Linked DNA regions of Rhinolophus ferrumequinum. Each later gene encodes a partner of the first gene's protein in a complex. Links are inferred from orthologs where the notes say so. Each region holds a gene or a part of one and is shown on either strand. Other genes may lie near its edges.

Region 1 (15,951 bases):
GTCCCCACCCCAAGAGTCCTGGATGCCAACAGTTACAAGCAAGACACCTGAGCCCTGAGTCACCCACACTTGGGTGCCTGCACGTGGCCTTGACTCAGTGCCAGCTGCTGCTGCCCTGTGAGGATTTGCGTCCCCTGTGGCCTGATCTGCCGCGTTTTAAGAGAATCCAGAGACCTGGATTTTTACCAAAAAAACTCCCAATTAAAAAAAAACCCAAAGTCTCCCACAAAAACCAAAACACTATGTTGTACACCTGAAACTAACAATGTTACATGTCAATTACACCTCAATAAAAAAGCTGCCAGTTAAATAGGCAACTCATTTACGTGATTTAATATGGTGCAGGCTGAACAAGAGCCCAGATAACCAAAAGAATGACAGGTTACACAAACGAGGCGTCATCTGTACAACAGAACGCCCTGCTGCCACAAACACAGCCCGCTGGCATACCACTTACACCCCCTCAGCCACCCACACGCACCTCAGCTGCTCGCCTGTGTCACCTGCACCAACCACCGCACACGAAGAGTGGTGTCCTATCTGTGCGGGTTGAAATGCTACCGTACAAAGCCCAACCATAAAACGACCACAGCATGGGCTCTATGTTCCTATGGCCCCCAAGGCAAAACTGTTTTCCACAAAGAAAAAACTACTTACTGTGTTTCCGCGAAAATAAGACCTAGCCGGACCATCAGCTCTAATGCGTCTTTGGGAGCAAAAATTAATATAAGACCTGGTCTTATGGGTCTTATTTTCAGGGAAACACAGTATGCTAAGAACACTTTCATTATCTCCACGTTTCAATTTTACAAAGAATTATTTGTTGGTAGAAAATTAGTTCTCTCGTTCCTCATACCTTTATTCAACATTTCATCAGCCTCATCCAAAACCAACATCTTGATAGCACGTGTCCTCAAACTTCTGCGACGGATCATGTCTACAAAATTCGAGTTGGAAATAATGAGAGACATCAGGCTACGAGGAAAGAACTAGCCACTTCATCGGGTTTGCGCAGCATTTCAGAGCCCTTCCCTCCAGGTCCTATACACGCGTGACGGCGAGCAGAAGCCGCCATGAGCGGATGACACCGAGACGACCTGACCGCCTGAGCACTTCTCACAGATACTACCGCTTGCAGCACCTCTGGCACAGACGAAGCACTCACCGAAGACGCGGCCAGGCGTGCCGGCCACGACGTGCTGCCCGTAGTCCAGTTTCCTGATGTCCTCCCCCACGTTGGTGCCCCCGATGCAGGCGTGACACTGGACGTTCATGTAGTCACCCAGCGCGAGCAGGCCCTGGATTAAAACACAGGGTCACGGCCATGGCCTGCGTCTAGGCCACTGGGAGGTCAGAAACATCTGCATTTCCCGAAAAGGAAGGTCACTGCTATTCCAGTAAGATTCCAGCAAGCACGGAGGCCACTATTTACACCTAAGGAGCCCAGTTCTCCTCTTGCTACATAGTCTTCTCTGCACCGAGTGAGATGAAGGCAGTTTTACTGGTTCCCTATCATCCAAAAGCGATACATGATAACAGAAAATACCTATGCAAAACTCATACTCCTGTCCACCCTCAGTATTAACGTATATCCTTCCTAAATGTTTACAATACGTATAACATAGTTACCATTATTTTTATTAAAATGCATTTTTTTGTTGTTGGAAAAAACACTACAATTCTAAGACTGCAAAAAACTATTGGAATCATGTAAGCTACACTAAAAATGACTTCATACAAAACAGCGACTCATGTAACATATAATGATTTATGGCAAACTGTTAGGAGTCAGGGAAAACAAAGTGAGGGCATAGAAAACCAGCATTCAATGAAGTCCCTCAGCCGGCCCTTTGGGACTGGGCTCGAGAGCAGCTCCCGCACACACGACACTGCCCCCTGGGACTGTCTCACCTTCTGAATCTGCACAGCCAACTCTCTCGTTGGGGCCAAGATCAAAGCCTGGGTTTCACGAACCTGGTAAAATAATTCGTCAGAAAAGAGACTCCTCAGTATTTTCAAGGTAGACGATGCTACTTCAGACTCAAATCTGTTTTCAACTTATCACATGTTAACCACACCGCTGACTTCCAACAGAGCTAATTGAAAGTTACTGTTCCGGAAACCACATATCCAGCCATAAAGGGGCAGACTGGTCAGCATTCTAGTTTGCAGACAAGAATTTCCACGTTTAAAAAATTGCCCAGTTTAAACAAATAGTAATTTATGGTAACGTGTTAGTAAGCTCAAATATTAGTGTGCAATTTTCTCCTAAAAAAGGCGCTGAGTCAGTACAACCAGAGACATATAAAAACTGTACTTCTTGAACACTGCAGTGACAGGGGAAAAGGAAGTCTTTCCCAAGCATAGACAGAGCGGAAATCACCTGAATGTCCAAACACTGGAGGACGGAAATACTGAAGGTGGCAGTCTTACCGGTGCCAGACTGAGACCTGTTAGGAAAACACAGACGAGTGGGACTTACAACCGAGGGCCACATGCCACTGTCCCCATTCACACAACGCCGCCAGAGTGTTCCGAGGGGTGGGAGCACTGGACGGCTTCCTCCAAGCAGTTGCCCCCAACCCCCAAACAGACCAACATCTTAACTGTGATCCTAACTGCCAGGGGGTGGGACTCAGCATGGTGTCACCACTTTTAAATCACAGGGGACAAGGACAGTGGCTGTGGTTTTTGCATCAGGGTGACGGAGCTGCAAAATCTGGACCGCCAGCAAGTGCTCCAGGTGGCAGAAAAAGAGAGCTTCCCTTCCTGTAAATATCATTCAGGACCAAAACCATCCTCCAATTTCTCTCTCTTCTTCTTCTTCTTTTTTTTTTTTTTGGTAAATGAGTCTTTAAAAACTACACAAATTGGGAACAAAGCTATTAAGAGTATTGTATACAATGCCACATGCCCACTGGTAGGTAAGCAAAGCTGACAAAAAAAAAAAAAAAAGGAAACTAACTTTCTAGAATAGCAAACACAAAAATAAAAACAAAAGAACAAAACACCGTGTGGCTCAAGTCATGGAAAGGGTTGCTAACGAATCTATAAAAACAGAAAACCGGTCACCCCGAAGCATTTAAGTGCACAGCTGACCCTGGTACAGCAGTGTTTGGGGAGGTCAAGCTCCCTCCCAGACCAAAATCCACATATAGCTTTGGACGCCCCCAAAACTGAACTATAATAGGATACTGCTGACCGGCAGCCTTACCCATAATGTAAGCAACTGCGTTCCTTACGTTATCTACTATATTCTTACAATAAAGTAGCTGGAAAAAAGAAAATGTTACCAATAAACCGTAAGGGAGAGAATAATACCTTCAGCGTATTTACTGAATACAATCGCGTGTAAGTGGCACTACACAGCTCACAGCCGTGTTGTTCCAGGGTCACCTGAGCTGGCTTTACCAGAGCATGTGACCCCTCCGTGCGAGCAGACTTACTGTGCGATGACGTCTCTCCCTTTAATGATCTGCTTGATAGCTCGCTGCTGGATTGCCGATGGCTTTTCAAATCCTGTAAAGAAAACCAGAACAAATTAGCTCGAACCTCTAGCCCCACATCTTTACACCCATATACTGTAAGCTCCTTGGGACAGAGATGGCATCTTCTTTTAACCCCCACCCCACCCCTCCTAACCCCATGTCCAACATACCAAGCGCTCAAGAAACAGCTGCTGAAATTGGGCAGAAGTGGCCTTTTATACTGACTGACGCGGGCCCTTATTTTACAAGGAACACCCTTGCAGAGTATAACGACTCCTAGTTGGGTTGAAAACACACAAAATGGTGGTGGTGGTACTCCTGGAGAAAGGGTGGGGGAGGCCCACATTTTAGCCTATGTAATTACTTCTGTGCTGTCTGACTACCTTACAATCACCTGCGTTGCTTTTCTTTTTTACATTACTTTTGAATTAAAACAAGGAAAATCAATTCATTAATGCTGTAACCACCACTCTTTCGTGTCAGCATTACGTCTGCAGGTTGTTTGCTTCGTCTGCAACTGCACATAAGCTACTGTTCAGGCGGCCCTGTGGGGTGGTCAGCGCCCGGTTCCTCCCTGTCGTGACGCGGGGGCGACAGGAAAGGCACCACCACCACCCATCCCTCTCGCACAGCAGGGTAAGTGACCGAGGGAGGAGCCCACTCAGAAGGAACAGAAATATTGTCCAAGTAAACAAAACCGCATGTACCAAACTGTATTTTAACTAGTTTGGTAGTACTTTAAAATGTAGTACAATTTCCCATCTAACACTAAAGCAACTACAATAGGTGATTTAAACCCCTCATGATGACCAAGCACATGGACGGGAAACTAAAAACCGCGTTTGACGGCAGGGCTGTCAGCCTCACTCCAAAGCCTGACTGCAACTTCCCCTGCCATCCTCTCAGCACCTGCTCTGCTCTGTCTACACCGCGGTGATGTCAAGGGCTGTTGGGTAAAAGATGGCCCAGTCCCAGGTGTGAGGCAGATGCAGACCACTCCCATCGGCACCCCCGACCCCACCTCTTTCAGGGCTCCCCACTTAGACACCTGCCTCCCCGGCATCTCCAGCGGGATGGCTTGCAGGCCCCTCAAGTTCACCATGTCCTAGACAGAGCCCCTGATTTTGCCTCCCTCGGGCGCTCCCCACCTAAGCAAATGGCAGCACCACCCGCCTGTTAAGCCATTAAGCCATATTTAGGCCAGTAGCAGAAACCGCATCTTCAAAGCCATCATGTCTTGATCCTGTGTTGCTTTATCTCCTGGGGGGCTGTGATCAGTGCACCCGGGCGGTGTGTGACCTGGGGCCGGGGCGTGGAGCCCTGAAACCCTGTCACTGACGGGGGCACAGCCTCGTTCACCCTCCTATAAAACTCCATCCCCCTTTGCTCGGGGGGTTATGATCTTCTCCCTCTGCTGGCTCCACCAGCCTGACCTCCTGCAGCTCAAACAGCCAAATAAACTCTAACAGACCACTCTTGGTCTCCCGCGAATCATTCCTCTGGTGTGTCTACCACCACCGGCTCAACACAGGAATCGCATGCCCCCTTTCCTCTGCTGCTCGGACTCGGCCCCTCAGGGAGCCTCGTAGCACCCGTCTCCGGGGGGTGCTCACCATCACCTCTGCCCTGGCCAGGAGCAAAAGCTTCCTAACTCGTCCCCCTGCCCCTCTCCTGCCCTACCTCCCCTCAAATCCAGACACCCGGATAACATCTGTAAGTAACTCTGACGGCCTCACCTCCTGGCTTCCATCCTCCAATGGCTGCCCACTGCTCTTACAAATCAAACTCAAACGTTTTATCACCTAACGTGACGCTTTTCAAAAGCTGGCCCTGGTCCCCTCTCCCAGCTCATCATCCCTGGGCTCCCAGGACAGCAGGCTTCTTTCTGTTCCTGGACTGCACCCCGCTCAGGGAACGCGGGGCCCCGGCATCGGCTGCTCCCGCGGCCCAATTCCACCCCCGTCTTCTCGTAACGGGCTCCCTGCTCCAGCTCTCAGCTCACCGTCGACTCCTCCTGGGAGCCCCCTCGTCTACCGGCTCTATTTCAACCCCCGCTCCCCCCAAGTCACACTCCAGGTATCCCGCTTTCTTGTCTTCACAGCCGTTATCACTCCCCGAAGCGACCTGGGCTACGTGCCGTCCTTCCCGCAGACGACGTAAGCTCCCCGGGGCACGAAGGCGCCCGGCTCACCGCTAACGCCGGTACCCGGAGCCGCGCTCGGCCCTAACACCTGCCGGCGCGAGACCGTACCGGCTGAATGAACGACTCGGAAACGCCCGGAAGACTTCGCAGTTCTTGAGGAACCAGCGCGGGGCTCTGCCGCGAGGACCCCACACCGAGCCCACGGACGCGGCGTGGGGACGGCGTGCTGGGGGCGGAGGGCGCCCAGCAGCGGCCCCAGGCCTCGCTCCACGCCGGGCCTCAGCTCCGACCCGCGGCGTCCGGCGCCGGCCCCCCCCGCCCGCGCCCCGCGGCCCCCGCCTCGCCCCCCGCGCTCCCGCCCGCGCCCCGGGCCTGCGCCCACTCACCGTAGGCGTAGATGCCGCGCAGCAGATCCTCCCTCAGGCCCATGGTGTCGAACGTGGGGGTCACGTCCACCTCCTCGCTGGTCTCGAACTCCACTTTGGTCATGTCTTCCTCTTTGAGCAGCCGCTTCCGCGCCGAGCCCGAGGTGGCCATCGTGGCTGAGGCCGCCATGATCCCGGGTCGGCTGAGAGCGGAGCGCGCGCGGCAGCGCACAGCGGAAACAGGGCCCGAGGCCGCCGCCGACAGGAACTGACGTCACCGCGCAGGCGCGCGGCTTGCGTAGAGCGTGCGTGCGAGCGTGCGTCAGGGCCGCGCCTCAGCAGGGACGCGGAGCCCCTCGTCCCGCGACGCGGAAGGGTTGCTCGCCCCAGGAAAAGGGGCGGAGTTCCTGATGCTCTCGCGCCAAGTCAGCTCCCGCGGGATCTCACGGTGGGTGGGGCCTCGGGAGTTCGGAGGAAGATGCTTTGGTGCTGAGGCGGCGGCGGCCCCGCGGCCGTGTCCTCCGCGCGGGCCGAGCCCGGGCGCCCCTGTTCCGAATGGAGCCCCAGGCGGCCCTGCCTCAAGTGGCACCCGGGGCGAGGGCCCCCCAGTGCGCACGTCCCCCCGTTTAAACGCTTATTCCGACGTTGGCGCTGGCCGGGGCCGGAGGGCGCGGGCACAACGTGGGAGATGGGTTAGTGCTCATGGCTGAGGTCCCGTGTGCTGGGCCGCGGAGGACGCGTCGCGGGAGGCCACGATCGGCCTGTGAGAGCTGACTTGGCTGTGTGAGCTGCGGGCGGGCGGCGTCCCCGCACCGGGACCCAGCACCGGCTGCGTGACCGTGGGGACGCGCCCGCGTTTGACGCTGCAGCCCCGACCTCCGTAAATTCCTACCCCCGGAGACCACGGCCTTGTGCTGCCCTGGAGGACGTGAACTAGTTGTGCCTCTGCCGGTGGTGCCACCTGACCCTCCACTTCCGGCTGCAGAGCCGGCCTCCCCGCCTGGCCTGTGTCCCCCCCGGGGTACGAACACTGTGTGTCTTTCCCTCTGTGAACGTGACTCCCGCACGCCGCCAGCTCGGTCCTTTCTCGTTGACTCCTTGGCTCGCGTCACCCGGCGCGCCCTCACCCGGGGCCTCTGCCCGGGACTGCCGGAACTCCGGCCCGTGGGGAAGGCGAGTTTAGTTAACGCTGGACGCTCGGGTCACCCGCTACACCCGGCAGCGCAGCGGGCACTGGGTTGCACAGGTTGCCAGCAAAGGAGTGAGGGCTTCTCGGCCAAGCCCTCACCCTGACGTCAGAGTAAGTCCAGTCCTTAGAGCTAATTGACCTGCTAAACGTACCTAAGAAGGATGCCGGTATTAATCAAATATGAAGTACTTATAAAGCCGAGTTTCTTTCTTAGACTTTAAATAGAAGTTCTTAGGTCTTCTCACTCCACGAGGGATCATCCATCCGGTGCCTTCTCGGGGGTTGCGCACACTCTGGTTTTGCCAGCTGCGTGCTTGTCTAGGGCTGTTTGTCAAATGCGCACAGATTCCAAAGACGTCCCAGCTCATGCCTAATGTTTACGTTGATTATGTTGAAATGACATTTTAGATGTACTGACTTACTTAAATTCACTTCACCTGTTTCTTTTTACTATTACAGTGTAGCAACGAGAAACATTTTAATTCTATATGAGATTCTGATTGGTCTTGCTGCCCTAAGTACTTAACGCATGTAAAATAAGCACCAGGAGTGTGGGGGGGACTAGGGAATTGGAGGTTACTGACTTGAGGAATTCTGGCTGTGGGGACAGAGCCCTAAAAAGCAGTTTCCAGGCTCTCGCTCGGCCTCACATAGTAAAGGTGCTGGCTCAGGTAGTAAATGGCCGTCGACTGTGATCAAATGGCCATCAGCTGTGGCTAGTTGGCCGTCAGCTGTAACCAGTGAGCCATTGGCCACTAATATAACTGCTGTGGCTAGCAAGTGGGGGCTAGCAAGAAGAGGGTGGCTGAGTCTGCAAGCGGCGCAGTGAGGATTGAGAATTGTGTGGCTCCTGGTTCCTGTGTCTCCAACCCAGCCGCCAGCAAGAGTATAGTGGTGTGACTCCCCTACCGATGGCTCCGTGGGTGTTCCTTTTTTTTTTTTTAATTTTATTTTTTAAATTTATGGGGGTGACAATTGTTAGTAAAATTACATAGATTTCAGGTGTGCAATTCTGTATCACATCATCCATAAATCACACTGTGTGTTCACCACCCAGAGTCAGCTCCCCTTCCATCACCATAGATTTGATCCCCCTCACCCTCATCCCCCACCCCCCAACCCCCTTACCCTCTGGTAACCACCAAATTACGTTCCCCAGATTAATTTCGTGGGTGTTCCTTTTTGGCCTCACCATATCCTGCATTCTTGTGTGGGGAGCGGGAGGGAGACCCTGCAGGCCGCCCCGCACGACACTGGCTTCACACAACACTGGCTTCGGAGAGGAGGGGAAGAAATGATTGCGCTCTTCTGGTGCCGAGAGGATGATGGCCTCTTCTGCACTTTGGAATTTTTATCTTTTTCGGGATCCACCTACACTTATTTTTTGCCTTCACACTTTTATGGTATTTTATGCTGTTTTCCTGGCAAAGTCCCCTTTGTTGTGTCTGAATACACCTCTAAAGGGTCTCTTCCTTAGGTTTGGGACCAATAACCTTCTAGCTTTCCAGGCCAGAGTCCATGAAAATGACAGAAGCTGTGTGGTGGGGGGGTGTCAAGTCAGTCTCTTGGTGGACGGTGCTCTTGGAGCAATAGGGAACAAAGCGTACTTCGTCTTTGTCCTCTTGGGGTCAGTCTAATCCGGGGGATGACCTCTCCCCCCAGATAGACTCTGTCTCCTGCGCTTCACCTCCCACACCCTTTATATTTGGGGCCAGGTATTATCTCACCTGATTAGACCAATATCAGGGAAGGCCCATGTCTGTTTTGTTCCCCATCACTGCTGTAGCACACAGTAAGTGTGCCTGCATGTCCGGGGCAAGAGGACAGGAGGGACACTGGAGGGGGCCTGAGTTCACGCCAGCGTGTTGGGGAAGACGGATGACGCTGGGCTGCGCCTCCGATCTGCCTCTTTCCCTGGCCCAGGCTGGACTCCCGAGTGCAGTCAGTGAAAGGGGTGGGCCTCGTCCAGGGGCGGGACGAGGTTTCGAGGTTTCGGTGGGTGCTGTAGGGCTGGGCTGAGCTGGATTTCCATGAGTCATCACCACGGGAATTGACATCCTGGATCCAAGGGGCTGTCCCCAAACAGCACCTTCCTGCCAGGAACCCCACCTACTACCTGGTACTCAATGGCAGACTCTTTCTAGGTGCTGCCCTCTCTAACCCACCCACCAGGCGGGCAGCCGACGAAGCTCCGCCTGAACCCGCCGGACTGGACTGCTGACCCCGCACTGCTGGCGTCCAGTATCAGGGCAGCAGATGTGCACACAGCACCCCTGAGATGCTAGACTGGGTGGAGAAAGGACAGACAGTGCTGCCCTCACAGAACCTGTGTTCCAGAACAGGGCAAGCCCAACAAAACATGCAAAACAGGAAGATAATTGCAGGTTTTATAGCCAGTCTGCTGCAAACGAAACGAGGCAAAGTGGAAGGGAGTTAGGAGGTTGCTGACTTACCAGGTGGCTGGAGAAAGGTGCCATATGAATTGTGAGAGGAGGTGGCCACCGAAACACGAGGTGGGGGAGGCGGGGTTCTAGGGAGAAGGGACGGAGTGCAACGACTCCCCGGAGGGGTAGGGTATTGGCACGTCAAAGGACAAGGCCAGGGTGGTTGTGGCATCATGAATGCAGGCGAGGTGGGGAGTGGGAGGAGGGGAACAGGGACAGATCAGGAAAGGTCTTACAGACAAGGAGATGGAGGCTAAAGGCACCGTAGTTGCCACAGTAGCCACTTCAGGGTGCGTTCTTTGCGGGGACAGGAACGCGTTCTGATAATCAGTGTAAAAGATGGCCTGGCTCTGCTATACGAAGGACAAGAATTCTTGTCCTCTGGAGGTCACAGGCTCATAGTGGGGAGGAGGGCAAGAAGCAAACAAGGAACTAGGATATGTAATATGTCAGGGAGCAATGGGTCCAATACAGAAAAATCAGGGCAAGGTGGAGGGACGGCCAGGGTGGGAAGTCTATGATTTTAGATAGAGTGGTCTGGAAAGCCCTCTCTGGAAGGTGGCCCTTGAGTGGAGTCCTGAAGGAGGTGAGGGAAAAAGCATTCCAGGCAGAGCGAACTGCAGGTGCAAAGGCCCTGGGGTAGGAGTGTGCACGGAGCATTCACAGACTAGCAAGGAGGCCCCTGTGTGTGGCATGTTGAACGGGAATTAGGTCATCAAGTACAAGATAAGCAGGGCTTTGTGTCTGGGTCATGGTGAGGACTTGGGGGCTTCTAGATCAAAGGGAAAGACGTGACCGGACTCCCCCTTTAAGAGGATTGCTCTGCCTGCTGTGTTGAGAACTAGCTTTGGGGGCAAGGGAGGAAGCAGCTAGGAGATCATTGCAGGGGTACAGGTAGGTGGTGATCAGGGCACAGCCATGCAGGTGTCAAGCAGCGATCCGATTCTGGACATGTATTAGCCTACCGTGTTTCCCCGAAAATCAGACCAAGCTGCACCATCAGCTCTAATGCGTCTTTTGGAGCAAAACTTGATACAAGACCCGGTGTTATTTTACTATAAAACCGGGTCTTATGTAATATAATATAGTATAATATAATATAATAATACCAGGTCTTATATTAATTTTTGCTTTAAAAGATGTATTAGAGCTGATGATGGTCTGGCTAGGTCTGATTTTTGGGGAAACGCAGTCGAAGAACCAAGACTGTCATCTGAATCTAAATAGTAGTCATCAAATGCTGATTTCAGGTGCATCCATTGGAATTGTAAGATACTTCCCGTACTTGATCATGAGAACCAAAGAAAGTCTCCAGGATTCATCCCAGTCTCCCCAGCACTTTCCCTGAGGGGTTATGATGAACCGGCTGACTGTTCACAAAGGAAGGAGGATCGTCCCCCATCCTGTCAATCACCACCTTCTGCAGTCATTTCCAGAAGCTTCCCATGGCTCTCACAATGGCAAAACGAACTCTGCACATGGCAGTCCTGCTGTGGGAGTGTCCTGGGGCCTCAGGGATGCGCGGAGGCCCCGTGTAGGGCATCACTTCCATGGGCAGGGCCCGGCAGACACGCCTGTCAAACCTGCTTGCTCTCTGCTTCTCAACCAAGAGTGTGACACAGTCAGTCATCCTCCTGGAGCACGAGGACAGTCAGCGCATGGAGTCCCTGCCGAGGAGAGCAGGTCAGCACAGCAGGGGAGGGTGGGCAGGCCCGGATGGATGGCGGCTGAGAGCTGTCCTTGGGGGGTGGGGGGTGCTAGGGGCGGCTTCCTCCTCATCAAAGGTGGGGCCTGGTTTGTGAAGGTTTTGCTGGGTTCAGTTGCATGGACATCGGCTGCTGAGTCCCACCTTCATGTAAGACAGTTGGGGCCGTGATGGATGAAGGAATGCACTGTTTTGTACTCTGATCTCAGCATTGTTGCCCCAGGGCGAAAGAAAGGGGAAGGAGGGTTTCTAAGTTCAGGTACGAAGTGAGTGCGACCAGCTGCCTGCTCTTGGTGGCAAGGGCACAGCCAGACATAAAGTGGCACTTTGGTGTGGATTTGAGCCAGGGGTGCGAGGGAGGGCTTCTTCCTTTGGTGCTTGGTGCCCTTCTGCCTCTCCCATCGTATTTATGAATCATCAATTCCCCTAAGCTTCCTCTAACGCATTCCTTCCTCTGTGGAGTCCCGTGCGGACGAGTGCATGTACACGTATTTTCTCCTTCGCCCACTTCGAAGGCAATAACACTGAGCCTTAAGGTGTGGCCAGTGCTGGCGTGGGAGGGACCCAACCCGAGGACCCCATCTAGGTGCTCAGGCCTCTTCTGACCTTAGGCACCCCTAGAATGGCTGTAGAGGAAGAGCGTCCTTAGGGGTCTGTGGGCTAAATTTGCTTTACTGTTGGGACTCACCCCTGTTTAAATTGGGGCTGAGTTTTTGAAAAGAAACCCCCACATTTTGTATTGCCCTTCGGGGTCCATTGCAAGCTGCTTCACTGCAGGAAGAATGGGCTAGAGTGGCTGCTCCTGGGCCACACTCACTTATACCCAAACCCCAATATGGCTTTGGGGGTCCCAGGATCCAGGAGCAACAGTTGGTTGGCATTTAGAAAGTCCTGGAACAACTTCTATCTTGAGCTGGCCCTGACTTTCTGAGTTCACTTTGATTGATGGGGGGGTCTGAGAAAAGCCAAATGCTGTCAGACCTCCCATGGGAGGCAAGTGGGGGGGGCTGTCGGACCAGAAGACCCTCCCAGAGCAGGCTGTCACCCCTGGACCGGCCTTGGGAAGGCACCCGAAGTTCCTGCAGGCCTGTGGGACTCAGTTCCCTGCCGGTCCTGATCACTGGGCCTGCTCACCGATCTGAGTACCTGGAGCTGGCCACGTGGCCCCTTGGCAACTGTGTAATATAATACCAGAGAGCAAGCCAGGTGTAATTTGCTAAAAACAAAAACTGTGTTTCCCCAAAAATAAAACCTAGCCAGACCATCAGCTCTAGTGCATCTTTTGGAGAAGAAATTAATATAAGACCCAGTATTATATAAGACTCAGTATTATATTAAAATAAGACCGGGTCTTATATTAATTTTTGCTCCAAAAGACGCATTAGAGCTGATGGTCCAGCTAGGTCTGATTTTTGGGGAAACATGGAATTAGTATTTTGTGAGCCTGAGTTTTATGGTTACTGACTCCTTGGACCCAAGCAGATTCAGAGCCATGGACCCCTATCAAAGGAAGTTGGGGTCACAGTCCAGGGTCAGTGTATTTCCCATCTGTTTTTGAACTTCTAGGCTGAGGCTTGATGCATATTTAAGTGGATGTTTTGTGAGAAATTTGGGGGGGAATATAAAGGTTTATAAAGATGCTGTACTCTCCTTTATGAAGTGGAAGGTTAAGAAATCCTGTCCCAGGGATGGCCGGGTGGCTCAGTTGGTTAGAGCATGAGCTCTTAACAACAAGGTTGCCGGTTCGATTCCTGCATGGGATTGTGGGCTGAGCCCCCTGCAACTAAAGATTGAAAATGGGGACTGGACTTGGAGCTGAGCTGCACCCTCCACAACTAGATTGACCCAGGCCCTGTATACTTTAAGACTGGCGTCTCCTGGTGGGACTGAGGGAAAAGCCAGAGGTGACACCTCTGCTGTTGTCCCCACCACAGCGTGAGGGGCTGGGCCTCTGTGCACATGCCGCCTTGTCTGTGATACACGGTCACCAAACTGTGTCATTTGTGAATAGCACGCTAGGACAGGAAGGGACCGATGGGCTCAGCCCTAGGAAGCAGGTTTCCAGAAGGAAACTGGGCTCTGAACCTCAGGATACCAAGGAGAGTTGGCAGGTGCAATAGTCACCAACGTGTCACAGCTGGGCACCCCAACAGGTAGCAGGGACTGCAGGCAGTGGGCTACCTTGTATGTCATGGCCAGGAGACAGGGCTGCTATCTCACGTGAGGCTTGTCAATTTCACACGTCTGACTTGTCGTGCGCTTCATAATCTCTTATCTTAATCTGAACGGGGATTTCTAAGGAAGTAATAGTTCTTACAGTTGAGAAACATTTATACTGCATTCAGCAATTCCGTGATTCTTTTTAACATAACTTTAAATTTAAATAAAATTAAAATTTTACTTTTAAATCATGTAGGACGTGATCTTATTTCTGAAAAATCATGTTAGTGTACCTATCTCTCTAGCAGTCCCTCAGTCTGTACCCTCATTTTCTCTAATTTCTCTAATTTACTGAGTTTCTCAAGTTTCTCTAATTTACTGAGCAAACCACACGTGTCAGAGGTCTGCCCAGCTGTTTCCTGGATCTGAGTTTACCTTTGTTTTATTCCCTTGCACTAGTCTTTGGTGCCTGAAGTCTGAGTTTTGGAACAAGTCACATGGCGTGAAAGAGCTGTCAGTTCACATCAGCACTGGTTTGGCAGGCTCTTCCTGCTCTGACCCAGTCCTCCCGGCCGCCTACAGAGACCAGAGCGGTGGCCACACCTGACCGGGAGGGGACACCAGGTCCCATCCCACTGCGAGAAGTCCCTGCACAGCCGGATGTGAATATCTCTGTGAGTCCTTGCTGTGGACCGGGCCCCTGGTGGACTGGGGGCGGGGGCTGTCCACAGGGAAGGACCCACCAGCGACCGTTTCCCATTTTGCTGTCTACAAGGGTTGATTTGCTCTGGTTTTCAAGCGTGTTTAGTGTACACTAACACTTAGTTTAGTTCGACTCCTGTCAGTCCATTTGTCTTCCCAAATGAAAAGAAGCAAATGACAGGAAATTTGGGGTCTGAGAGAAACACTCCCAGCTGTGCCCGAGGAGATGCGCAGGCCATCACGCGTGTGATGGAGGAAAAGTAGAGACAACCTGCTGCCCACCACCGGCGCGTCAGCAAAGCACCTGTGCTTCATTCATGTCAGTGAGTCCAGTGGGCAGTTAAACAAGGTTTCTGCAGCCCCCCAAACACCTGGCGAGTGCGGTGCTACACTTGGCAGTAGAGATGCTCCTGGAGGGGAGATGCTGTCAGCATCCAGGGTCCTGCCAAGTGCTGTGTGCTGTTTGTGGCCACGTTGTTTGGTTGGCGCGAGGAGAGGACTGATGACAGCCCAGGCTGGAGCCGTCTCTGCGGATGCGTTTCCTTACACGGGAGCCTCGAGCCCAGAGTGTTAAGATGGGGCGAGTCTGCGTCCTGGGTGCATGTGTGTTTGTTACACCATTGGCGGGACTTTTTAAAATATATATATATAGATGCTTGAAACAGTCCACGTTTAAAACCATTGTAGAGTTATTTGGATGGATTGATAGGCTAACGATTGTACCAGGATTGTGCTGGGAGTGGAGACGAATGTGACAGGAACAAAGCTGTGGAGGTGACTGTTACAAAGCAGGGCCCCCGGGGCATGCCCCGGGGTGGGGGGCTGGGCAGGAGCCCTCGGAGGTCCTCCCACCAGAAGGGCTTGGATTCTAGACTAGTCAGCACGCCCCTCGGAGAGACGACATTCCAGGCCTTTGATGATGAGCTGCTTCTGGGCTTTATCCACACAGACCAGAGCCCCGGGCCCGCTGCAGCTCAGCCCTCGGAGACCGGGCCATTGAAACCCACCCCCCACCAGCCAGGGGTCCGTGGCCATTACTACCTACCCGAAAGAGTGGTTTGTTTTAGTTTCGCATCGATCTATATGCTCTTACAACGTGTCATTGTCCTAGCACATTTCCCAAGTGTGTCAGCACGAGTGTCCTGGGGCTGCTAGAGATGACGGGTACCGACCCACGCCACATGCACGCAGCGTCTTTCTGTGGCAGCGCCCTTTCCCCAGCCCTGCTTCCCACCGATTGTCCCTGATCCCTCCGATGTGGACCCTGGGTGCTGCCTCTGGTTGCTGGGTTACTGGATGGGTCGTCCAAACACTGACATTTATTCTAGGGTAGCCTTTCTTTCACCATCACCCCTAAGGAGCCTTTTGAGACAACCTTTTGCTCAATCGCCCTCCCATGAAATGTTGCTATCTCAGGTATGCTGTGTCTGTGTTTATGCACATCTGTGCTTAGACACAGAAGGGTAAGAAATTTTGCCCGAGACCCAGTTCCCGCCTGTGGGGGCTGTGCCACCCCTGCTGAGAACGCCATGTCTAGACCCACCCCCCAGTCAGTTCCTGGGGCCACTGGCAGCGCCTGTGCTTTAAAGGCAAGTCCAATCTCCTGCAACCAAAAGAAACGCGGCCCCTGCTCTGCTCTGGTGGAGGATTGATTCAGTACCAACAGTGGGATGGAGAGCCCCTCCCGCTGGCCACGGACACCAGGGCCACGGCCAACGTCATCGTCTTGTCCAAATCGGCCATTTCCTTCCCTAC
Region 2 (15,746 bases), on another chromosome or scaffold:
GGCAAACAGGCTACCAAGCCATGCTCTAGAGCTACACTGTCCAGAAGGTAGCCACAAGCCACATGTGACTATCTAATCAAAATTACATAGCACTAAGGGAAAAAATTGGTCTATTAGCACCAATTACACCAGTTATTCTACCCTTAAGTGAAAAATCAACAAGACATGCCTTATTGTAAGACTTATTACAGTAAAAAAATATCAATTATAGAATCTACATTAGCATATGGATGTTCGTTTTACAATTCTTTCAACAGTTTTCTATGTTTGAAATTTTTCATAATACAAAGTTGGGGGAAAAAATTCTAATAGGACTATAAATTCAGTTACACTAGCCACATAGCCACATCTCAAGTACTCAGTAGCCACATGTAGTTGGTCGTGGCTACGCTATTGGACTGCACGGATACAGAACATTTCTATTAACTCAAAGTTTACTGGGCAAAGCCACTCTAGTCTAGCTGCTCAGGAGTCCAGGCAAGACTTCAGGGACTAGTTCTTTCAACCTAAGGTCAGTCCTGACTGGTCCCTGGAGCAAGTGGATTATGACTACCAGGACTACACACTTTTAAGGGGGAAGAGGGGAAGGAGGTTTCAGATGGAGGAATAACAGAATACTAGGGCATGGTTACTGACAGGAGAAATAATACAAGGCCAAGTCTATCAGAAAGAGGCTCAAAGAAACTGAGAAATATGAGTGGGACCTGTGCTCATTACGAGTTACTATATATAGATACACATACACAAACACACACACGCACACATTTAAATCTAAATTTTAAATAATTTTTTTAAGCTGAGAACTCATTTAGTTTCTAGACACAGAAAATACATATTTGTGAAAAAGGGCATAATAAAAGATATGCCTAACTTGGGGTATTGATTGGCTTTACCCTTGAGGAAATCACTGCTTATACCAAAAATATTTAAATGTAAATAATCCCTGAGTTTATGATAAATGTAAAAATCCACAACCTTCTGTAAACAACCTCTATAAGCACCACAAAATTAAATCCCATCAGGTAAGGAAGAAATAAGGGAAGATCTACAATTGCCTTTAACGGAAGGGAATCTGGCTACATATTCCTACCTGAAAGAACGTGTACTATAGCATGTTCCTACGATAAATTTTTTATTAACTTTAAAGTGAGTAAGAGACATAGCCTCCTGAGGGAAAAAAACAAAACAAAAAACACTCTCCATCCAGGCTTTGATAAGTTTTATTGGAATGAAAGGTGGCTTTTATTTACAGATTTCAATGTGTGTGGGGACTGTCCAACCCACTTGGACACAAGTGAAGATAACCATTAAGCCTGTTTATGTATTTTCTTATTTTCAGTTTGCATACAAAAAGAAAATTTGTTTGCTTCACACTCATAAAAATCCCAATACTGTAAATGACAAACAAACCCTCCCTTACCCATCCCTTAATTAAATATAAAAACACCTTAAAAAAACATACAATTTAGATTGGTTTAATCTTGAAATGTAATCCAATAAGACTAAACACTAAACATTTCAGGTCCTGTACCAAATAGTAAAATACTCGAAGGCCTTCAGGATCCCTAAAATTTAAAAAGGTAAAAGTTACTTTTTGTTCCTAGAAATAGTGTAATTTTAAATTAATTCATAAAACAAAACAAAAACCTAAAACAATTAAGTTAAAGACATACGTAGCTAAAGCTATTAAGCTACACTGGATTCTTTTTTTCATTTATTTGGGTATTACACCCAAAGAGGAAAACGATGTGATGTGCTATGGGACTAATGAGGCTAATATCCAATAAGGATATCTTTTAAATTTTGTGACACTGTGTCCAAATTTTTACCCAAAAAAAAGTAGCTAATAAAACTTGGGCATTATTATATATAGCTGTCAGATTAAGATTTTTTATTTGAAAATCAATAAAATACACTGCTACCTTCTTCGATAACAAGTTTTTAATGACATAAAAATCAGAATTTCATATGCATAATAAACTGATAGGGTATCATGGAAATGATCTCAAACTGGATATAGTCTTAAAATGAACCTCTCTAATAAATGTTATCAATTTAATGAAAATGCTTTAACATACTCACTTTGACTGATTGACATCAATAAGAGAACCTATTTTTGACGTCGTAAAAGAAATGTGTTCATCTCCGATTACAATTTCAAGCTCCTGAAAAAAATAAAATAGAGAGATGTAGTTAATATAAAAATTCATCCCAGAGATATCTGTATTCTTGCTACTGAGAAGTCCCAATTTTAGCTGCAGTTTTTCTAACAAAGAAAAAGAAAAAAAGACATTTGATCTGTTAGACATAAACTATGTCTATAAAATAAAAACCTGATCACCTATTCAAGAGTCCCCAGTATTAGGACTAACCAAAACTCCTCTCCAGAGATCTCATAAAGATACTATAAAATGAATGACATACTTCAGGGTGACAATAAATGTTTCATGTAATGTCAGTAAAAACTATTGGCATCACTCTGAAGCACAGTGTTGTAAAAATAATATGATCTAAGTCTTTTTAATATAATAAATATAAACACACTTACCCTTTCACCAGGCTCTAAAGATAAAATGTATAATATGAATAACAGCACCACTTTAGTACCCACTATGTGTCAGGCTCTGCTGCTACGGACTTTACAGACATTATCTATAATCCCTGAAATACGCTTGGGAGGTAAGCGTATTTTACAACTGTGAAATCCAAGACTCAGAAAGCATAGGAAAAAACTTGATATTCACAACCACCAATAAGTGAGGGTACTAATATTTGAATCCTGGACTGTAAGACTGAAAGACTCATACACTTTGACTTCACAAAACATTAAAATTAAGAACTAGTAAAACAAATACAACATAATGTAGATGTCCCCAGTGTGCCACAACTATTGTACAAATTTTTCTCTGTATTTTATCTGCAAATCTAAAACCAACAATTAAGAGGCTATGTGTGTGGTGATTTCTCAGGTTAAATAGCACGCCATTCAAGACAGTCTTAGCTACATCACTGATCAGAAGACCTAATTATGCACAGTTTATGGCACACACAAAATAATTAACTAAGGTTCTTAAATAATCATAAAATATTTGACTTAAAGATCCAATAGACAATTTCTGGAGCATGCCAAATCCTCCCCAATACCAAAACACATGATCACATCAAGTGGATTGATGAAAATACTGGGCGCTTCCTGAGTTTAAAAGAGATAAACAGTTTATTGCTGTTGTTTCTGTTTTTTAGAACATATGTACATATGCATAAAACAAACTGAGATCAAAATTTGTGTTTTAAAACTGTTTACAATGCATAAAATACTCTTTACTATTACTTTTGTTTTCCTAAATGTTTCTTTAAATAGAGTTAAGTTATTGCTACAGAGTGTCAACATCTGTTAAAATTTCTCCATACATTTTCTTCTACTCAAAGGTGTTACAACGTATAATCCTCAGGAATATACAAAAGTGAAATTATGTTTCTTCTTCCAAGGGTCATATTGCATTTCTCCAAGAGTTGAAAAGATCCAATTCAGAAATCAAACTGTCTTTCAACAGAGTGAAATTAGGCCTTCAGATCTCTTCAGAAGCCCTTTAAGAAACATTAATTACTCTGAAGGGAGTATGAGAGGCAAAGGCAGTGGTCAGTTTGAACAAAGAAACCAATCAAATCCCTCTCTGGGGCAGAAAGATACAAATAAGAATTTTCAAAGTTATAAATTTAGAGAAAGTAAATTTTACATGGTCAATGAGAATCCTGTCTCCAATTTCACAGACACCTGTACTTATTTCTAATAAAAGTGGTTAACATATAATAGAAATTATCCATAACAGTGTGAAAACATCCTAACCTGGGCTGGCTGCCACAAAGACTGTTCAGAAAGATGTCTCAATTTACAGTTATACATGGATTCCTTTACTACTAGGAAGCAGCACAAAAAATGAGACCAAGTAAAAGAAAATTAAAGCGTATTTACTAGGTATCTACTAAATAAAAAACTAAAGAATCAGTGAGGATCTATTCTAAATAAGGAGAAACATAACAGTTATATTATCAATTTTTAATATTTATGCATTTAAAGAATCCCTAAATACGAACCTGTCGACCAACCCTATCAGGAGGAGGCCACAAAGCATCATCTTCTTTGGTAATTTCACTGTCATCAATAATTCTCTTCAGTTCTTCCATTACACTCTTGTGTACATAAGCCTGAAAACAAGTTACAATAAAAATTTCATAATGCCTATTTCTTCCCACAGGTCAGAAGGAAATGATAAAATGGAGTTAAAAATCCTAAATATTCAAATAGAATATCACAGAAAAACTTAATTCCAAAGTACAAGATGGGAGGGAATCATTCATCCTTCTTAGGATTTTTCTTCTCTCTTGCCCTTTTCTTTTAATATATATTGTTCCCTCGTCACATCACTTAGCCCCTTTTTAAACCGTTGTATTCTGCCTTGGTTAACATGGAACTCAAATATCTCCAAGTGATTCATAGCGACAACACAAAATTTGAGGTGAACAGAGACAAATACTAGAACACATCACAGTGATCTGAACTTTTATCCCTAATTTTGGAGCCTTTCATTTAAAATTCATATTGTGTTTAAATCATGATCATTGTTTTAAATAGTGAATAGAGTAAAAAGACAAATTAATTATGAAGTGAATTAAATGGTATGTTCAAATATGAGACTATAACAATATATTCAGATTGCTTCTTTTGTTGTTACAGATGCTATGATTAGATCTAATTTAAACTGAATCACTTTTCAATCTATAAATTGGATTCTTTACAATACGGACTTATATGTATTTTTGTAAATTCAACACAGACTTAAGGAAAATGGCAAATGTAAAAAACTGGACATTCAAAAAAATCTTACCTCTTTTCTGATCATGACATCATTTTTGTAATTGCTGTTGTTGGCATATCTAAGCTTTCCTGTGGGGAGTGGAAAAAATTCAATCTATAACAGCAAAAACTGCTAAAAAAAATAATAATAATAAAGAAATGACACTGTAAGCAATTTTGAAGATAAAGACCATACTATACTACTACTTTTATTAATAATTCTTCCCTCTCAGCATAAGATTAATGCTAGACATGTAGGCACACAAAGATTTGCTGGTAAGTTGGCTACAGTTGAAGCTAGTCAAATTTTTAAACATTCCATGCCTTTGATATAATTTCTAAATATTCAATATAATTTTTAAATATTCTATACCTTCAGTATAATGGGAAGGCCATTTTTTAAGGCCCATTTTCTTAAGCTATGTCCTAAACTAGACAGGGAATCTGAAAAGAGAAAAAACTCTTCTTTTAAAGTTTGTGTCTGTGTTGGTACCAAGTGATTAGCCCAGAGCATTTAATCTAATCAGTTAAACAACCTTAAAAAGTGGGTTTTATTCTCACACCTATTGATAATTGAGAAAACAGTTAAGTAATTTGCCCAGGGTAACACGAGATTCAGCTCTAGATATACCTTCTTCCAAGTACTCCAAAATTTGGAGTAATTATTTTCCTTCAAATTAATGCACGTATGATAATATGGCAATGGTAGTATTTCAGAATTGTGGTTAGGAAGCACACAAACTATCTGCTGCTTCTGGATAAAAGTTGGCCAGTTTGTTAGCTAATCTATACTTAATTTTAATCCATTATGACTTTTGTACTCCCTGATGCATACTTCCCCTTATGGCTAATTAGTTGCCCAGGTACAGATGTAATGTGCTCCTGACCCTCTAAAATGATAGGTTAACCTAATGAGGTGAACGCCTTAGGAATCACTATTACTGATGGAAATATGTGCATGGTGTGGTAGCTGATAAATGGATGAGAACCACTGTTTGGGCATGAAATTTCCCTGATAACATTAGACTACTTAATTTATGTGACTGGCTAAGGACAAGCTGAAAACTATTCCCAGGCCAAAGCACTGAAAAAACATCACCTAAGGAAACAACAGATGGAGAATTCAGGTAAATTGGCTCCTTAGCTAAATTTAGAACAGACGTGAGGAAAACAGGAGAGAAAAAGGTGATTAAGGTTTCTAAATAATTGCAGGTCTGTAGTGACCTGAAATGTCTGATACTCTTCCCCTTTTCTAATATGTGATTCTCCCCTAAGTTCTCACAGAACTTTGTCCAAAACACGAACACAGCACTTAATAGCCAGACTGCTTTATGGTTAGTTTCATGTATGTGTTGCCCATCAAGATGTAACTCCTTGTGGGAAATTAAAGAGTCTTAACCACTACCGTACCCTCAATTTTTGTATTTACATGCTGCCCAGCACATACCATGCATTCAGAAAAGAAAAGTCTATGCAGTCGGACTGAGCTTGTTGCAAAAAGAGTTCAATATACAATAAAACTCTCTAGAGAATCAGAGCTGAGGAAAAATAGAATCTGCTGTACACTTCCTGGGCAGCAGGCAGTTTTACTTCGCCCTCTGCTCACGCTGCTCTCACTGCTGTTTTTCCTGCAGAGGCCAAGAAAATAATCTATTTCCAGATCGTCTCAACTGTCACCTTCTCTGGGAAGCTTTCCCCGCTCCTTCATGTAGAACGTTATAACCACTCTCCTTTTTTAATTTTAATTCATACTATAGAGAACAACTGTATTGAAGCACCCACAATAAAGATACACCATTACACTCATTTTTCTACACGTTGGTCTTCCCCTTCAGAGGACGCCTCATTCGTTTTTCTAGACATGTTGCCTTACATACAATGCCTGAATGAATAAAACGGATGAATGGGTAAATCCAAAAGTTACTGGCCACCAAAAGATTTTAAGCATCCATTAAATCAACGCACGTTGGGGGATGTTCTTTAAAACGTTCAAGTATTAGGTCGATACGTTAGACGGCCTTTCCGGTCCTTTCCGGTGAGCTGAGTCTAGGATCCTGACTACCGTAGGTTCAGCTGTAGTATCTGGCAGGATTACCTTTTCGGAATTAATTTACATCGATTAATTCTCGTTTATTCACAACACCTCTTTTGTGAATAATTTATGCCTCTTGTATTCTCAAGCTCCCATTTACTTCGGCGCAAGCAGTGGCCTCAGCCCTCACTGTACACTTGCACGCCCACCCCAGGGGCTCGCCCACCCCACCCCGCCTCCTCCGCGGCCTCTCCGCCCCGCTCCCCCAGGCCCAGCACCGCGCTGCAAGGCGGCGGCCGCCGCCGCTCCTCCGCTCACCGTCCGGCCGAAACTCGAACTCCAGGAACTCATGTCCAAACTTGCCCTTGTGCCCTACATAGTAGCGCAGGTAGAAATCGCTGGCCAGAGACATCTTGGTCTCCAGAAAGCCCGCCGAAGGCCTGGCCTACTCGCCGCCGGGCGCCTAGCAGTGACGTCAGTCGCGCGGGAGAAATGCGTCACTGCGGCGCGCCCCTTCTGCCTCCGGACTCCCCAGAGGAGGGCTGGGAGGCTGCAGCTCCTACAGGAGGCCCGAAGCCAGCGGAGTAAGGGTCGCAACGACTCGAACTTCGCTTACTGGCGACAGAGGCATGTTATTTTCAAACTTAAGTAAATCGTAAATAGCAAAGGACAAAAGTGTGAACATATGATAGCATTTTTTATCGGCTTACAACTAAGGTGCAATTGCAAGGCGCGTTTAGTTTTCGGGTCTCGATTTCTCGCGGCATCCTGTGAAAAGGTGGGCGTGGCATCACTCCCCTTTAACTGGGGGGATGAGTCCAGATAAAGCCCGGAATCGAAATGATAGATCTGGAATAAAACCCTTTTCTCCTGCTAGATTCCTAACTCGGGGCTTTCCCCTTTGGACAGTGCTAGCTGTCCGGCTACTTGATGCCTATGAATAATAGAGACAAGGTAGAATCCATCAGACAAGAGGTCTGAAAATTTGAAAGGCACATTGAAAATGAAAATCCCGACAGGCATGGTATAAAAGAGTTCCTTTTAATAGTAAAACTTCTTTCATTAAGGAAAGGTTAATCTTTAGTGGCCTGAGGAGTTTTGGCAATGTGACTTAAGGTCAAATGGTTTAGCCCACGTTTCTTACCAAATAGAATAAATTGGGGAGGGGAGGGATGCTTACCAAAGGGTTTAGAAGGATGGGCAAAGGCCAGGTGAGCTTTCACACAAAGTCTGTTTTTCAAATATTGATCATCCTTCCTTTACCAACACATAGAGTAATCCTGTTGATGACTTTTGACCTTCAGTGGGGTTTAGTAGGAAGAATGGCAGACAGAAGACCTGGGATTCATTCCCAACCCTTACATCTACCTAACATTGGTTAAGTCACTGTCTCTAAGTCTGTTTTTCCATCAACCAAATGAATATACTACAGTCAACTTTGCCAAGCACACAGAATTGAGAGGGCCAAATGAGATAATGCATGTAAAATAGATTTAAAATGTATAAAGCATTAAATAATGAGATTTAACAGGTACTCCTATGTGCCAGAAATGGTTAGACACTGTTAATAAAAAGATAGAGCCTTTGCATTTGCAGTCTAGAAAATAAACATATAGACATATTAGCACAAGGAAGCAAATGTTAGAAAGAATTTTTTTTAATGCTGGTAGTACAGCAGAGGAAGCAAGTCACTTTATTGGGGAACAGGAAGCTGAAGAAAGGGAAGTATCGGGGAAGCCTAGTGTGACAAGACGTGCTATTTGAATTGGACCTTGTGGGATAAGTTGACTATATGTTCAGAGGGATGGAAAAGGCACTCCAGGAAGAAAACAACCTGAGCAAAGGCACAGTGGTGTGAAAATGCATGTGTGGGGACAGAGCCCCAAAAAGCAGTTTCCAGGCTCTCGGCCTCACATAGAAAGGTGCTGGCTCAGGTAGTAAATGGCCATCGACTGTGATCAAATGGCCATCAGCTGTGGCTAGTTGGCCGTCAGCTGTAACCAGTGAGCCATTGGGCACTAATATAACTGCCGTGGCTAGGCTAGCAGAAAATGGGGGCCTAGCAAGAAGATGGTGGCTGAGTCTGCAAGCGGCGCAGTGAGGGTTGAGAATTGTGTTGCTCCTGTTTCCTGTTTCTCCAACACAGCCGCCAGCGAGAATACAGTGGTATGACTCCCCTACCTATGGCTCCGTGGGTGTTCCTTTTTGGCCTAGCCATGTCCTGCGTTCTTGTGTGGGGAGCGGGACCAGAGACCCCGCCTGACACCCCGCATGACAGCATGATTTGGGAAGGCCAAGAAATTCAGTATAGTTAGAACATGAAGTTCATGAAAGTGGAATAGCTAGAAAGGCAGATTGGCCCGGATTATGTTGACTCTATATTAACGATTATGTAACTGTCAATATAGTAGTTTGTATTAACCATTGCATCAGTGTTTACATAGGAAAATTATTCAATTCCTACTGTACAGGCTGCCATTAGGGAAAATATATAAGAAACATAAAGCACCATCCTTTACCACTAGGGCGACTAACCATTCCAGTTTGCCCAGGACTGAGGAGTTTTGTGTGATGTGGGACTTTCAGTTTTAAAACCTGGGAAGCCCCAGGTAAGCTGGGATGACTCAGTCACTGTACCTATTACAAGAATAACCCACAGAAATTTGACCACAGTATCTATGAAAATACAGGCAGTAATCCATTTGGTTTGTTTTTTGTAGGGAGCCTCATTCAATCTCGTTAGATTCCCTAATGCATTTCTTTCAGATTTTTGACACATATGCTAGCATTCATGTTTACCTAAACAGAGCTACAGATACCAGATCTGTGACTGTAAATAGAGCTTATGGAATGCACAGTGTTAAAATCTTTCTCTGTGGTCCAATTACTGTCTCTATGCCCTGAAAAGACTTCTGCGGTCAAGACTAATCCTCTCTAATCCTGTTTTTAAAATGAATTGCGAAAATATATTAATCCTTCATATCTTTAGCAAAAAAAAAAAAAAAAAGCCAAAAATGTGTCTCTCTCATAGTATAAGGATTGCAAAGTAATAAAACATAAGCTGTTTTGTGGTCTTGGATATTATACAACAGAAATATGGAAATGTTGTGAATGGCTACTGAGCACTTGAAATGTGTCTAGTGAGGCTGAGGAACTGAATTTTTTATTTTAAAATATTAATTTGTGTGAATTTAGATTAATATTTAAATGCAATGTGTCCCCTGGCTATGGTGTTGGACAGTGAAGTTATATAAGACACGTTTCATACACTTTTACTTGGGCTGGAAATAGTGAAAACATTTTTCGAACATTAAGAAATCTCAATCTCAGTGGTTGTAGGCTTCAATTTAGGGCATGCTTACTGGTATCACCACTACAGTTTATTCAATTTGTAATGTACAAATGCCCACATAAATAAGTGTATAATGTCTCTTACTTTCTAGGCTGTAATCAAAAGCTCTCCGTTCCTTTTATCCAACACCTAGCACAACGTATAACAGTGTTGTCCTTAAACTTACCACTCAATTTTTTAAAAAATATTTAAATCAATAAATATTTTGTAAATTTGACTTAAATGAACAGCCAAGAAACAACAATGAGATTCCAGAGGACTTCATCATTTTGTGCCAAGCCACTCAACCTTCCTTCTCTCTACTGCTACTTACCACCCCTTTAAATCCTGACTAGTTCACTGTGGTATTCCTACAGGTACAAGAATCATTATTTAGTTGGATGACTCATCATGACTCCATCAGGAGTCTAACTTTTATGAAATTTTCAACTGCCAGTCATCTTTCCTACAGCCTTAGATGTCCCACCCAGAGTACCCCGAGTGAGTATTCTTTAAAATCACAGATCACATGTCCAGCTGAATTGTCATCATCGTGATATTTTCAGTGTTTTGAAATAGGAGGAGACTCTTCCCATCCTCCAGAAGCTCACACAGAAATGATTACTTCATCATTTTAGTCCTGTGGTGCTTGTACCACACCATCATCCTTAGGCAGGCCCTGCCTTGCAATGTGACTGACAAACCTAGGTTCGCTTCTCAGCCACAGATTTTAAATAAAAAAGATATGAAAGATTCTAGGATAGGAAGGGAAAAAGGAAACTAACATTTATTGAGTACATATTATGTGCCAGATACTGTACAAATACATACTCTCATTCAGTCCTCACAACAACCCTGTGAGGTAAGTATTATCCCCATTTATCCATTTTCTGCCAATGTAGATTGCCTCTTGAATTTTTCTGTTGACGTTAACTTCCATTTATTTACTTTTATCCTCCCTATTGTCAAGATGTTAGCAGCTGTATACTAGAAAAGCCCACTTTCACTCAGTGAATATTAACGTAATGAAATAAGTTTCACAATACATCAGCAGATGATTGAAAATCAGAAGCTACCATCCTTCTGTCTCAGGTGATGTCCTTTGCTAGCCCTTGTTAAAGACCTTCTGGCCTACTAAGCATTCTTGCTTGATTTCCACATTCCCTATTTGTTAAACACACACATTATATTCATCATGAGCCTGACTCTCCAGGCTCCGTCTCCTTAGTCTTACAGGGACCAGGAAGCTGGCCTGATGAACACATGTTGAATGTTCCTAATCATAAAATGATCCCTCCAGGTTCTCGTTAAAAGTAAAACCACCAGGGTTTACCTGTGTTACTATTAGGGAAAAGGGGGCTATCTTTCTCTTACCTACGCTCAGGGGAAACTCAGAAGTTTTCCTTCACAGTTCTCCTCCAGCCCTGCATGAAGGGGCCAGGACTGAGGAATGTGACATCCTTTCTCCACCTTCACTTTGAAGGATGACCTTAGTCCACATCTATACTCCTGAGCAAATAGAAGGACCTTTAATTTTCTCTCATCAAGTTCTTTATTGGCTTTCTAGTCCCTCATTTGACTAATTTCTGTGGACCTTATAATAGCCTCGATAAAAGCATCCTTCAGGAGGAAACTAGCCTGTGGTGGGAGCAACCAGCTTATTTGTACTGTGCCCCAGCAAACATCACAGATTTCTAAAACCTCCTGTGCAGTGACACTGGCTACCACTTCTACCCTGAGTCTTCAAGACTGGGACAGCAGAAATGAAATTGTATTTCTCAGCCTCAAGGGTATGCAGCGTGTAGAGTTTCACCCAGCATCACTTCACATATCTAGGGAAACGTATGGGGGAAATCCAGGATCCATGTCCTCTTTCTCTCTTTACGTCCCATTAGAAAGTCCATCCTCTGTTCTTGGAGAAATTGGTTCCAAGAGTATATGATCACCCATGGATGTTTCTTGCCCTGGGATTGTCAAAGGAAGCTGTGGCTGTAGGAGAGGCTGTCCACGCTGATCCCTGCCACAGCTGCATACAGCTCAGGCACCACCAGCTCTGGTACCTGCAGCACAGCCTTGTCATCTGCAGTTTGAGCAGCAGTTTCTAGGCGTGAGCATAGCTCTCTAAGGGAAGGGCGGCTGTCCTCACTCCAGCGCCAGCAGGACTTCATAAGACCATACCTGCAAGGGAAATGAGAGACACTGACTTCCCTGACCAGGCAAGTGTATGAGAAACACGTCTCCTCTCCTAAACAAACTTGAACAAAAAAGCGCTACAGTTCTTTAATCTACTTCTCATTGTCCTGTCTCTCATATTCTTCCCAGAGATTAATATTCATTTCGTCCTCTTAATACTTAGTCTCTTAAAATCATCTTCTCAATAGCACCCTTTTTATAATAGTAATGACTGAAGATTCCTCGGAGTACAATCAGTATGACAGAACAGTTTGTGGTTTTTCCTCCCCCATTCTATTGCCAAATGCTCTTTCAGAAGTCAAGTGTTCTCACCTTTAGATGTTACTAACTTGTAGCATTCCAGACCATTGCTACAATTTATGTATCAGTAGAAGCTACATTATAGCCAGGAAAATAAGAAGTTATGGAATAATATGATTCATACTAATTTTTAGGTGTTCCCTTCCGTTAATCGAGGTCATTTCCCCCCTTTATAATTTAGCTTCTTCAGGAAATTGCCTTAATCTAGATAAAAATACTTTAATCCATCTTTTCTTCAATCCAGTTTAGAGAATGTATAATGCTATCTGTTTTCAAATACTTTTATCATGTACGATGATACCCTGCTCAAGAACCAACAGTTTTCCACCGCCTACCACATGATGTCGACATCCTACCCCCAGCTGTCTCCCACTCAGGCCTGGCCTAACTGAAGCCCTCTCCTCCAGCCCAGTGTCTTGCTATGTCCTACATGTGCTATTAACACCCAGCTCTGCCTTTGCTCATGCTATGCCCAAAGCCTTGAAATCTTCTCTGTCGTCATCATTCCCTAGGTTTGTTTTAAATCTCAATTCCTCTATGAAACCTTCCCTTATAAACCTCAGCCCACCATGTTTCCCACGCTCATTAACCTTGTACCATAAGACTTTGTGAAAGATGCTACTTTAACACTACTAACATTTACCAAGAACTTATTATATAAGGCATGGAAGTGGAACTCAACATGCATTATTTCATTTTAGCCTCACAATAACAAAGGTAGGATTATCATTTTACCTATTTTAAGATAAGTAAACAATGTGCAGTAAAATAACAGGACTAGGACTGAGCATGTGTCTTTTTGACTCTATGAGAGGAATCTGAGCTTTTAACCATTTTATTTACTACCTAACACTTTATGTTGATTTTCATGTTTTTCAGGTATCTCCTTATCCAATGTTAATTTCTTCAAGATTAGGTATTTTATCAGTTAAGTGTCTCCCCCCAGTGTCAAGGACAGCCTTTTACACATAGAAAGTTTGCAAGAAACATTTTTCAACAATTTCATTCTGGTATACCCAGCCAGTATCACTATATTGTGTGTGTTTGTGTGTGTGTGTGTGTATGTGTGTGTATTTATAGTTACGATAGTTAACATTTGTAATCTGCTTGATATAGTAAATGTTTATTATAGGGAAACCCAGGTACTGGAAATTTACCCTTTTGATGCTGAAAAATTTGCAAAATTTACAATTTTAATGAAAATGTATATTAATATATACATTTATAAATAATCTAAACCTTTTCTTATGTCCTATAACCATCCCTTTTTGTATTTTATTGGTTATAAAATTCTGTGCACAACTTTAAATTTTTCCATTTTTTTGCTCTGTATTGGTTCACCAGCTGTCCCTTTCTGCTGACAATATTGGATTCTCCTTCTCCTGCCTTTCTAATTTCTTCCTACCGCCCCTCTGGTTGGTTTCTAATGTGCTTATAGCTGGAAAAATAGATAATTTTTAAAAGTTAAATATTAAATAAGAGCCAGTAAGTAACCTAGTGCAGTGGATTTTATGGCAATTATATTAGAACTGAGGCTGGCGGTCTCTGACTGAGACTGACATTTCAACGAATAAAATACTCTGTACCTGCATTGGATTTGGTCTACTTCTTACCTATTTTAGAAACTTCTGGAGGAACTAAACTATCAAATTTAGATTCATAATATAGTTGCCTCAACATGGTGTGTGTGTGTATGTGTGTATACACACACATATACATATGCAATATGTATATATATGATGTATGAGCAGATGTGTTTTACTGTGTAGGTTTGGTCTAGGGATGCACATTAGCACAGAAAGGACAGCTAGGGATCAACTGAGTCACTTTGAAAAGGGCATGATTCATAGGCAGCAAAAAATACTTGGATTTCATTCTTCTTTATGGCCGAGTAGTACTCCATAAAGAAGAATGAAATCTTATCATTTGCAACGATATAGATGAGAACATTATGCTAAGTGCAATAAGTCAGACGGAGAAAGACAAATACCATATGATCTCACGTATATGTAGAATCTAAAGAATAGAAGAAATGAACAAACTGATCAGAAACAGTCTCAGAGATACAGAGGAAAAACTGAGGGTTGCTAGATGGGAGGAGGGTAGGGATGAGGGAGAAGGTGAGGGGATTAGAAAGCACAATCGGTAACCACAAGATGGCCACAGGGATAGGAAAGACAGTTTGGGGAATAGAATCAATAATGTAAAGATTTTTGTAGGGTATCCGATGAGCACTTGTCTTATTAGGGAGACCATTTCGTGGATGGTGTAGATGCCTGACCACTGCAGTGAACACTTGAAGCGGAATAATACTGAATATACTAAATTATAGTTGAAAAAAATATATATATATATATATATATATAGTCACAGGATATAGAGTACAGCAATAGTCAATGGAATTCTAACAGCTATATACAATGTCAGGGGTAGTAGGTTGGGGGAGGGGGTTATCATTTTGTGAGGGGTATAAATGTCTAACTAGTACATTGTTTTGTACACCTGAAACTAATAATAATAAAAAAATACTTGGAATGAGAGACAAGTAGGCCTTAAATGCCACTTACATGGTGTGTGTGCAGCTACTGGGTCTCTTCATGATTTTCCTTCTTTGGAGATGTTGTAGAATACTGACAGGAGGGACTTCGGGATATGGTGGTGCCCCTGTTGGTATGGAAAGAATGAGAGTAGCAAGAGCACTTTAGGTCCAGTAGAACATCAACTATATCAACACTGTTCTCCACCCACCTGGGCTAATTGGCTGCAAAAAGTAAGTTAAATATAAGCCGTAGGAAAAATACTAGGTACTATGTATATAGTTGCTCCCTAATGATCAAGTTAAGATATAACATAGAAAATTGGGGGCGGGGGGATGTGTTTTGGGGGGAAAAACTGATGATTTAGGAGAATGTTGAGTCTTTAGGAAAGGAACAAAGTAAAGCAAAGTGAGTAGTAACACCTGCCCTCCCTCCCCAAATGTGAGACGGTTTATAGTTTCTCAGTCAAATGGATTAATAAATCTGAAGACAACTTTT

What was found.
Region 2: EIF4A3 (region 1) and MAGOHB share a complex: the UniProt entries of both Homo sapiens proteins name them as parts of the mRNA splicing-dependent exon junction complex. The link is inferred for Rhinolophus ferrumequinum from reciprocal best matches to the Homo sapiens genes EIF4A3 and MAGOHB.

What each region holds. Positions count from the first base shown.
Region 1 is NC_046304.1:53,512,713-53,528,663, forward strand, and holds the start of EIF4A3 (eukaryotic initiation factor 4A-III), read right to left. Parts: upstream 6,223-15,951; 5' UTR 6,187-6,222; coding exon 6,018-6,186; intron 3,520-6,017; coding exon 3,447-3,519; intron 2,451-3,446; coding exon 2,384-2,450; intron 1,975-2,383; coding exon 1,912-1,974; intron 1,299-1,911; coding exon 1,166-1,298; intron 938-1,165; coding exon 857-937; intron 1-856. UniProt on the Homo sapiens protein: ATP-dependent RNA helicase. Involved in pre-mRNA splicing as component of the spliceosome. Core component of the splicing-dependent multiprotein exon junction complex (EJC) deposited at splice junctions on mRNAs.
Region 2 is NC_046293.1:26,238,177-26,253,922, forward strand, and holds MAGOHB (protein mago nashi homolog 2), read right to left. Parts: upstream 7,374-15,746; 5' UTR 7,300-7,373; coding exon 7,206-7,299; intron 4,946-7,205; coding exon 4,887-4,945; intron 4,207-4,886; coding exon 4,096-4,206; intron 2,166-4,095; coding exon 2,083-2,165; intron 1,566-2,082; coding exon 1,466-1,565; 3' UTR 1,205-1,465; downstream 1-1,204. Other genes in the region: tyrosine-protein kinase STYK1, read right to left, coding at 12,192-12,396, 15,279-15,375. UniProt on the Homo sapiens protein: Required for pre-mRNA splicing as component of the spliceosome. Plays a redundant role with MAGOH in the exon junction complex and in the nonsense-mediated decay (NMD) pathway.